Linked DNA regions of Canis lupus familiaris. The protein of the gene in region 2 purifies or fractionates together with the protein of the main gene of each other region. This does not show direct contact. Links are inferred from orthologs where the notes say so. Each region holds a gene or a part of one and is shown on either strand. Other genes may lie near its edges.

The links. The genes of interacting proteins can lie anywhere in the genome.
Region 1: the proteins of RNPS1 (region 2) and AP2A2 purify together in Homo sapiens (co-immunoprecipitation; 3 studies listed by BioGRID and IntAct, with this or other methods). This does not show direct contact. The link is inferred for Canis lupus familiaris from reciprocal best matches to the Homo sapiens genes RNPS1 and AP2A2.

The regions. Positions count from the first base shown.
Region 1 is NC_049239.1:45,693,580-45,697,819, reverse strand, and holds the start of AP2A2 (AP-2 complex subunit alpha-2), read right to left. Parts: upstream 2,821-4,240; 5' UTR 2,679-2,820; coding exon 2,612-2,678; intron 1-2,611. UniProt on the Homo sapiens protein: Component of the adaptor protein complex 2 (AP-2). Adaptor protein complexes function in protein transport via transport vesicles in different membrane traffic pathways.
Region 2 is NC_049227.1:39,163,068-39,167,406, forward strand, and holds the start of RNPS1 (RNA-binding protein with serine-rich domain 1), read left to right. Parts: upstream 1-1,536; 5' UTR 1,537-1,674; coding exon of another isoform or gene 1,675-1,676; intron 1,677-2,195; exon of another isoform or gene 2,196-2,214; intron 2,215-4,288; 5' UTR 4,289-4,339. UniProt on the Homo sapiens protein: Part of pre- and post-splicing multiprotein mRNP complexes. Auxiliary component of the splicing-dependent multiprotein exon junction complex (EJC) deposited at splice junction on mRNAs.

The sequences.
Region 1 (4,240 bases), on a different chromosome or scaffold from region 2:
CAAAATCCACTCCTCTCCATCAGCTGAAGAAACCTAAGGCTCAGCAGCCACTGGCTTCAGGTCATGGAGCAGGTGAGAGGCAGCTGGGTCTCTCCACAGAGCCTGGCCACATCCATCACATTCACAAGAAACCAATGAGCACACAAAATCTGAGGTGGGAAAAGGGGAAGCTGGAGCCAGCTCCCTGCCCCAGGGGGTTAAGCTCAGATGGCTCTGGTCATCCATCCGGCCAGGGTTAGCTTTCTGACCCTATCCCCAGCCACAGCCAGCCTACACATGCTCAGAACGTTCATTCCCTGCTGCTCCATCACATCTTGGCCCTCGACCTGCAGTGCTCTTTAGACAAAATGGGCATGAGAATCATCTTGAAGCTAAATCCTTTCTGGCTCACTCATCTATTCATTTACTAGGCTCGTGTCTCATGCCAGATGCTGTGCAAGCAGCGGAAAGACATGACAAGCAAGACAGATGTGGTGCCTACCTTGTGGGGTTCATAGTGAAGGGGAGGGCACAGCACCACAGACCCATGACACCGCTCTAGAAGTGCGGCACTATGACAAAACAAAGACCAAGGGCAGCATGAGGTGGGAAAGGTGGTCCTGAGGAAGGGACTGTAGTAAACAGAGACCTGGCCCCAAGAAAAATGAGGCAGCCCTTCCTCCTTAAGCTCCTTTGGGGAAGAGACTATCCTATTCATTGGTCTATATCAGTAGGCCCTCAACCAGAGAAAACTCTGCCCCGTAGGGCAACGTCTGAACACACCGCTGGTTGTCACAATGGAGGCACCTCGTTGTATGGAGACCAGGGATGCTGCTGTCCAACACCACTGGACAGCTCTGCACAAGAAATAACCCAATCTCAGCAGTGTGGGGGGTGGAGAAAGTCTGCTCTAAGGTCAGTCAACAAGTATCTGCCGAGTCCTCCCATATGGCAGGCAGTTACCTTCCACTCAACTGCAGACCTAGCACAGAATACATGTCTAATATGCAGGTGACCGGCTGTCAAGAAAATGGGTTTCAATCTCAATGTCTTTCTTGCCCACTGCATTCTTCTTCCAAAATGGAAGAACTGACATCACTCCTAATTTAAGGCTGCTAAGCCTTTAGCCAAGGGTCCCCCTGCAGTGATAGCGCACACACACTCAGCTTTACAAAAGCTGAAATCACATTAAATAGCACAGGAAGGAAAAGAAAAATATTGCCTACTTGTAAATACTCCGATCTGAGTGTGCTACCACTCCGATTTCTCGATTTCTCGCACAGGAAGGGGAGGGACAGAAGATCAGAGCTTCTCTGGGGGAGAAGCAGGCTGGCATCTGGGTGCCCCCGTCTAAGGAGGTGAGGGCTTCAAGGCAAGGCTCAACACAACAGCATCTACCAGCAAGTGAGGTTACAGACTCTCTTCAAAACATACATTAACCCTAAGGCAATAAAAATCAACTATCTGGCAGGTAATAAAAAAATAATAATAAGATGCAACAGATAGGAAAACTGGTTTTGCCTTTAATTTCTTTAATTAAATAAAGGAGAGATCTCCGAAGGCTGTAGCTTCTCTACAGACGGAAGCCCCCACCTGCCTCCTGGCTTGTTTCGCTTCTGGTGTGGATTTCTTCCACTGTGAGGGGACGCGAGTGTCCCGAAGAAGGGGCCAGCAGCCAGGGCAGCCACCCGAAAGCCACCCCACCCTCCACTGCCCTGTGTCTGCACTCCTGGGGGGAGTGAGTCATTTCATCAGGGCCTAATAAGCCACCAGGACCCGGGCGGAGCTGCCTCCCAGGCAAGGCAGCTTTCGCTGCCCCCACTCCCAAACTGAAAATCCACGCTATTTTGGAACACGCTGGGTTAAATGCTCCATTACTAGAAAGATGAGCAGACTGCTCCAGATGACATCATGCTGGGGGGGGGGGGGGGTCTTCACCAGAACCCTGTCGAAGACGCCACAGCCCCCCCACGACTGGAGAACCCCACCTGCCCTGCACCCCGCACCCCTGCTCACTGTTCCCTGACCCGCAGGCCCCAGGCCCAGCCCCCGACTCTGCCTCCCACAGGCCTGCGCCCTCCTCGGCGGCCCTGTAGGTCCCTCGCACCCCAGGCCCGCGCCCCCGACCTCTGCCCTCTGGGCCCGCACCCAGACCCCCAGACCCCCGCCCTGCACCCCGACCCTACGCCCCCGGACCCCCCGCCCTCCATGTCCACACTGGACCCCGTCCCGCCCCCCCACCGACGCCTGCCCTCCGGGTCGGCACCCGGACCCCGCCCCGCGTCCCCGCGCCCCCGCGCCCCCGCGCCCCCTGCCCCCAGGGTCTGCACCGGCCCCCGCGCCCCCGCGCCCCCTGCCCCCGCGCCCCCGGTCGGCTCCGGGACCCCGCCCCGCGCCCCCTGCCCCGCGCCCTCGGGGTCTGCACCGGCCCCCGCGCCCCCGGCCCCCGCGCCCTCGGGGTCTGCACCGGCCCCCGCGCCCCCTGCCCCCGCGCCCCCCGTCGGCTCCGGGACCCCGCCCCGCGCCCCCTGCCCCGCGCCCTCGGGGTCTGCACCGGCCCCCGCGCCCCCGCGCCCCTCGCCCCTCGCCCCCGCGCCCCTCGCAGGCCGGGTCCCGCGCCGCCGCCACTCACAGTTGCGGATGTCGGAGATGAAGACCGCCAGGCCCCGCATCCCGTCCCCCTTGGACACGGCCGGCATCTTCGGGCCCGGGGAGCGGCCTGGGCTGGCGGGCCGGGAGGAGGAGCCGAGAGCGGGGAGCCGGGAGCGGGTCGCCGCCGCCTCAGGAGCCGCCTCAGCCGGAGCCGCCTAAGGCTCCGAGAGCCGCTTTCAGGGCCGCCGCGCGCGCGCACGCACGCACGCTCGTCTCGCGTGCGCGCGCACGCTCGCCCGCGGATCGCCGCGTGCACGCGCGCGCACGCGCGCGCGGCTGCGGGCGGAGCGGGGACGAGCGCGTCGAGGCAGGTGCGGGGGCGCCCCCTGCAGGCGGGAGCACGGGGTTCGTGTCCGAGGCTCCCCATCCGCCCCCCACGACCCTGTCCAACCCAGGCTCTGGGGCAGCTTACTGGTCTGCGTCCGGAGCCCCGAGGGCCTTACGTGCACGTCACCGCTGCCCAGGGCCACCAGCCCCTTCCTGAGGCCTGAACACGAAGGACTGCCCACCCCCACCCCCTCCCCGCACCGCACCCTCGGACCGCGGGCCGGTCTAGACCTAAAGCCCTCCAGGCCCGGCCAGAGCCCTGTGCCATCTGCCACCACCCACCACCTCCTCTTGCCCCAGACGTGAACACGGAGGACCGTCCCTGTGGTCAACAGAGGCCTGGAGCCTGGACCACCCACCCCACACTCCCCCACCCTTCCACCCCCCAGTCTGTGTGGACAGCAGGTGGCCCTGTTGAGCTCCCTTTGTGAAGCCAAATGGCTTCGAAAAGGAAGCTTTCTCCTTAGGGGGAGAGGGGGGTTGTCTGGGCCCCAGAACCTGGTGCAGGCCCCCACCCACAAAAGAGGTCTGTCCCTCCCTGGCTCACTTCCTCAGTTCCCAGGGAAAAGTCAGGGCTGGCTAGACCCTGGCCGGGAGGAGGAAGGGGTGGGGCCCCTGCCACAGACGAGGCGCCCCACCCAGGCTCTGGGCCTGCAGGACCCCCTGGGGGAAACCGGAACCCTGGACGCTGGAATCCTTATAAGGAAGCAATTTCACCAGCCTCCAAGACCTTCTGAAGAGCTGGGCCTGGAGAGGGCTTCCTGGAGGAGGGGAGATCCACAGGGAACACATCCTGGCACCTGGAGATAACCCTCCCATGGCCAAGCCAGGGGACTCAGACAAGCAGACCCTGACCCACTCACGGCAGCCACTCATGGAACAGGACGATGCCCAGAGGTTGCAGGGACCTACGTGGGGCATGGACAGACTGCCAGCTCAGGCAGAGGTGGAAGGCTTCTCTGAGGGAGGCTTGGAGTTGCGCAGACATCCTACCCGCTTTCAGAGATTCTGGGCCTCCCAAGCCTCCTGACATTCCCCAAAGTACGTCTTTGGGGAGGGGGTCATGAAAAAGACCCCACACTGTCCCCCAGCTCCCAGACCTTGCCAGACACACAGCTCTCAGATCATTATTACCATGAGATCTCGGACCTGAGTCCACTCAGCCCTACCCAATCACGGCCACTCCTCTGCAAGGGACAGGCCACCTTTATGAGTATGAAGTGCTTGGAAACAGTTTCGTAAGTTGTGTGACATCTGTCACATTTTAGCCACTTGTGGTCAC
Region 2 (4,339 bases):
GGCAGCGGTAACAATGAGGCAGAGAATTTAAGTTGCTCTAAATGGACCCCCACAACTCTAGGGCAGATCTAAATCCAAAGGGAGGACCTGCGCTCAGACCCACTCTGCCTGCCAACCCAGCTCATTCTCCAAGAGCGTCCTGGTGTCTTAGCAAACAGGGACTCAGGAGGCAACTGCTTTTTCCCTGCTCTTTTGCTGGTGACTCTCAGACACCCCTCCATCAGGTATAGGGGTACACTGACCCACCAGACCAGGCTAGAGGAGCTGCACAGGAAAGGGCGTCACCATCCATGTGCTGGGAAAACCATACAGAGCAGAGAGCAATGGCCTGCAGACGGTGTCCACAGTCTGTCCATCCATCCCTGGTCACCACACTGCAACCCGGACTCTCCTGCCCCCGCCCCGGCAGCTAATCCATCTCCAAGTCACCACAGCTCCTTCCTCCAAGAGATCTGCTTTGGATCTGTTCCCTTCTCCTCCTTGATGCACCTACCTGTGCAGACAGCCACTGGGGCAGGGTGCACCTTCCCTCCTCCCACTCAGTCCTGGGGTAACCACCGGTAGCCAGACTGGGGCAGGGACTCCGTGGGAGACACCTCGGGGAACACACCCCGAAAGCTCTGGCCCTCTCGGCGCGGCTTTTACTCTTCCCAGCCTCCTGCCTGGCCCGGGCCGTACTTCAACAGAGGAGTCCGCCTCCCTGCCTGCACTGTCCCCCGCGAGGTGTGGGGTGGGGGTGGGGGTGGGGGGGTGCTGCACAGGCTCCCGCTCGGCACCCGAACCTCACCTGCCCGGCCCTGGCCTGCGAGTCGCCCCCTGGCCTCCCCTCAACGAGCCCCCTTCGTGCCCCTGCACCTGCTGCTCCCTCACCGGGCGCCTCCTTCCCCTCGGGTCTTGGTCTGGCGCAGTGCCCCCTCCTCCTCCGGGGTGCTTGCCCTTTCGCAACTTCTCTTCTATCCGGTCTTTCGCTCCCCACTGCGATGGCAGCACTGCCCCTGTCCACGCTCAGGGCCAACGACCGCGTGGGCACTCCGCACCTCTCCTGCCCAGCTCTCTGGGCAGCTGGCGCCCCGCGAGACCCCACAGTCCGCAGCCAGAGGCCACACAGCCCTCAGCACCCCCGCACTGCCCCCGTCGGGCCGCGCACTGTCCCGCACTGCCCCGCCCCGCCCCCGCCCTGCCCCGCACCGTCCCCTCCGGTCCCCGCACTGCCCCCGCCGGCCCCCGCCAGCCACCGCACTGTCCCCGCCGCCCACCTCACCGCCCCCGCCGCCCCGCGCGCTGGAGCGGGAACCCGGGCTGCTAGTCCAGTGCGCACGCGCAACGGGGGGGCGGGGCCGCCGCTGCGTTAACCCCCTCGGCGCCGGCCCGGAGCCGCCCGCCCTGCGCGGCCCTCCCGCCCCCAGCAGTCGGCCGGCCCCCTGCGGCACGCAGCCGGCCCAGGGTCGCCCCAGATCCCCGCCTCGCGGGGGAGACAGAAGACGAGGCCCCGACGCGGCCCGTCGGGAACGGCCGGGGCCCTTTAACACTCCCTTCGCTCCCTCCATTGGCTGAGGCGGTCACGTCATCGCCGCGCGCCGGAGAGCAGCGCCTTCCCGCTCCCTAATCCTGACGCCAGAGCGGCGCCGGCCTTCGAGGCTGAGGAGAGCGGGCGGAGGTGGCGGCGGCGGGAAGATGTAAGTTGGGGGAATCCGACCCCATCCGAGCTCCGGGGGCCGCCCGCAAGGCTCGGCGGGGCGCGTGGTGGAGCCGGCCCGCCCCTCGGCCTCTTGGTAGGGACGGCGGCCCGGCGGCGCGACAGCGGGCGCGAGAAGAAAGAGTGTGGCCCGGGGCTGGCGGAGTGGGAGGCGCCGAGGCCGCGGCCCGGAAGTGGTCGGGGCCGCGGCGGGCGGAAGGGCGCTCACGTCGGCCCCCTCCCCCTGCGGCGGCCCCGGCAAGGCCCGCGGGATTCGGAGCCGCCCTCGGGCCGGCCCTGGGCTGGGAGTTGCGGGCGCCGGCGGACGGGGGCGGCGTGGGTGGAGTTGCCCCGTGGGGGGCCCGGGAGGCGCGGGGACCGCGCCGCTGCCGCGCGGGCGGGCGGGCCGCCCCACGAGGGGGGCGCGGGAAGGAAGGGAGGCCGCGGCCCTTCTTGGCTGTCGCATGACTTGTGCCAAAAACGTGCTTTTTAAGTGGGGAAGGTGCCCCGAGGACGGGGCCGAACGCCATCTGCTCGAGGTGTGACTAACTGTTCTCTCTCTCTCTGGCTGTTGGACGCGCACCTGTCCGGAGGATGGGGGAGGTAACCCAGGTCCTGTGCCGCGACCCGAACTTGTGTGGACAGAGCGCCGCGGGCTCTGCTCCCCAGGCCCGGCCGCGCCCGCAGCGCTTAGAGTCCGGGGCTTCGGGTGGTGCTGGTGGTCGGAGGGCCCTGGGGTGGGGCCCGGGGGTGCGCCCTGCCGTGGGTGCTGCCCCGGCAGGCGGGCGGCCCGGCCTGGGCCTGAGCCTGAGCCTGGGCCCGGGCCTGGGCCGGGTGGAGGTGTTGGAGAGGTCTGGCGCCCGCGGGGGAGTAAGTGTATCACGGGTGGGTCTTCACTGCCTGTACGTTGGAGAGATGGTATTGGGGGCGTGGGGTGTCAATACTTGGCTGGATCCCTCGTTAACCTCCTTGTGTAACGGGGCTGCTGGAGTGCTTGAGGACGTGCCGGCAGCTCACGCTCTTCTCCTGGGACAGGGCCGCCCTGGGTGATCCTCTTAACGGGCCGTCCAGCATTCAGGAGATCGTGTGGGCCTTTGGGAAACAAGAGTTTATGTAGGGGAAAGCCTGCACACGGGGAGGAGCACCCCTGTCTTGTAACATGAGCGGGCATTTAATTGAGCCCTAACTAGATGCCAAGTTTCCTTCCATGTGAGTAAACTGGGTTGGTGATCTTGGTAACTACGGAGGTGTAGGAGCTGTATCCCCCAAAACGCTGATGAGAGGTGGAGACTCAGAACAGCTGTGGGACTTAGCCCCGGTCCCAAAGCAGAGCTTGGAATCAGACAGGCAGGCTGACTCCAGATTCCTGCCCACTGGACCGTACTTCCTGGTTGTCCAAGGCCACTGACTCCATCCAGTGCTGCTTGCTTACTACCTTACTGTTCCAAGGCAAAACGTCTTAAAAGATTGTACCAGCCTGGAGAGGAGCCTCAAAGGTGACACCCTGCTTGCTTCTGCTCTAATTTGATTGTCCAAAGCTGGCCTCCTTTCTTGAGTCACGACATTCATTTAGCATTTTGCACACCCCTTCACATGTGAGAACAGGATCCCGGGTGGTTGCCATGTCGATGTTACTGACAGGCTGTTGAAGATGAGACAGGAGGAGTTGACACCACCATTCTGCAATCTTCGCTTGCAGCTCAAGCAAATTGTAGAAAAACCTCCCTGGAAAAAATGAAGGTCGCGAGTCCCCCAGGAGACCAGGCACATGATGGTTTGGTGGTTACACTGACCACTCACAACTCATGCTGTGGTGCGGGCACTTGGTGAGACCCTTAGGAGCAGTGCCCTCCAGTTCCAGTGAATACCCGCATAACCACCACGTAGAACCTACAAGTTACATTTCTGCCATATTTGCTTTGTCATAGAACAGATCGCCCATCCACGTTTTTTGTTGCATTTTGAAGTAAATAGCAGGCTTTGGTGTACTTTCCCCATGACGCTTCCATGTGCATATCATTAATTAAAGTTCAGCATTTGCAATGATTGCTTTCTAACTTAACTATTTTACTACTTTTTCAGTGTTCTTATGGGACATTTTATCTGTTTGCATTTGGGTGTTAATGTTTAGATGCTGGTACTTGTCACTTTTGAAATGGTTTTTGATTCTAGTCATGGTATGTTCGATGTATCCTACAAAGAAATTGCAGCAGTAAAACCTGAGATCTAATCACACCAGTGATCCTATCAGGAGAGCCACACTTGACTCTTCTGTTCTGCATGCAAATGTGGTGTTGTAACATTTCTAAGGGAATGGTAAAGGGCTTATCAAACTTAGGAGTGAAAAACAGGTATTGTACCACCTGTAAAAGAACAGTGACAGGCACTACCACCCTTTCCTTAAGGAAAAAACAACAAGGTGAGGTGAAGGTCTACCTGTGGGGGCAAGACCCTCCCTGAGGAAATGGAGGAGATCCCATATGTTCCTGGCTTTGTGGACGCTCGCTGCTTACTGTGTTCCTTGCCATCTTGTGTGCTCACCTTTTGACTGCAAAGTAGATTTGTTGCCTTGCCAACTCGTTCACTCTGTAAATCCTTTTATCTTGTTATTAGGCTGCACTTTGGCGTAAATTGCAATCGATTAGGGATCGTTTCTCAGACTCG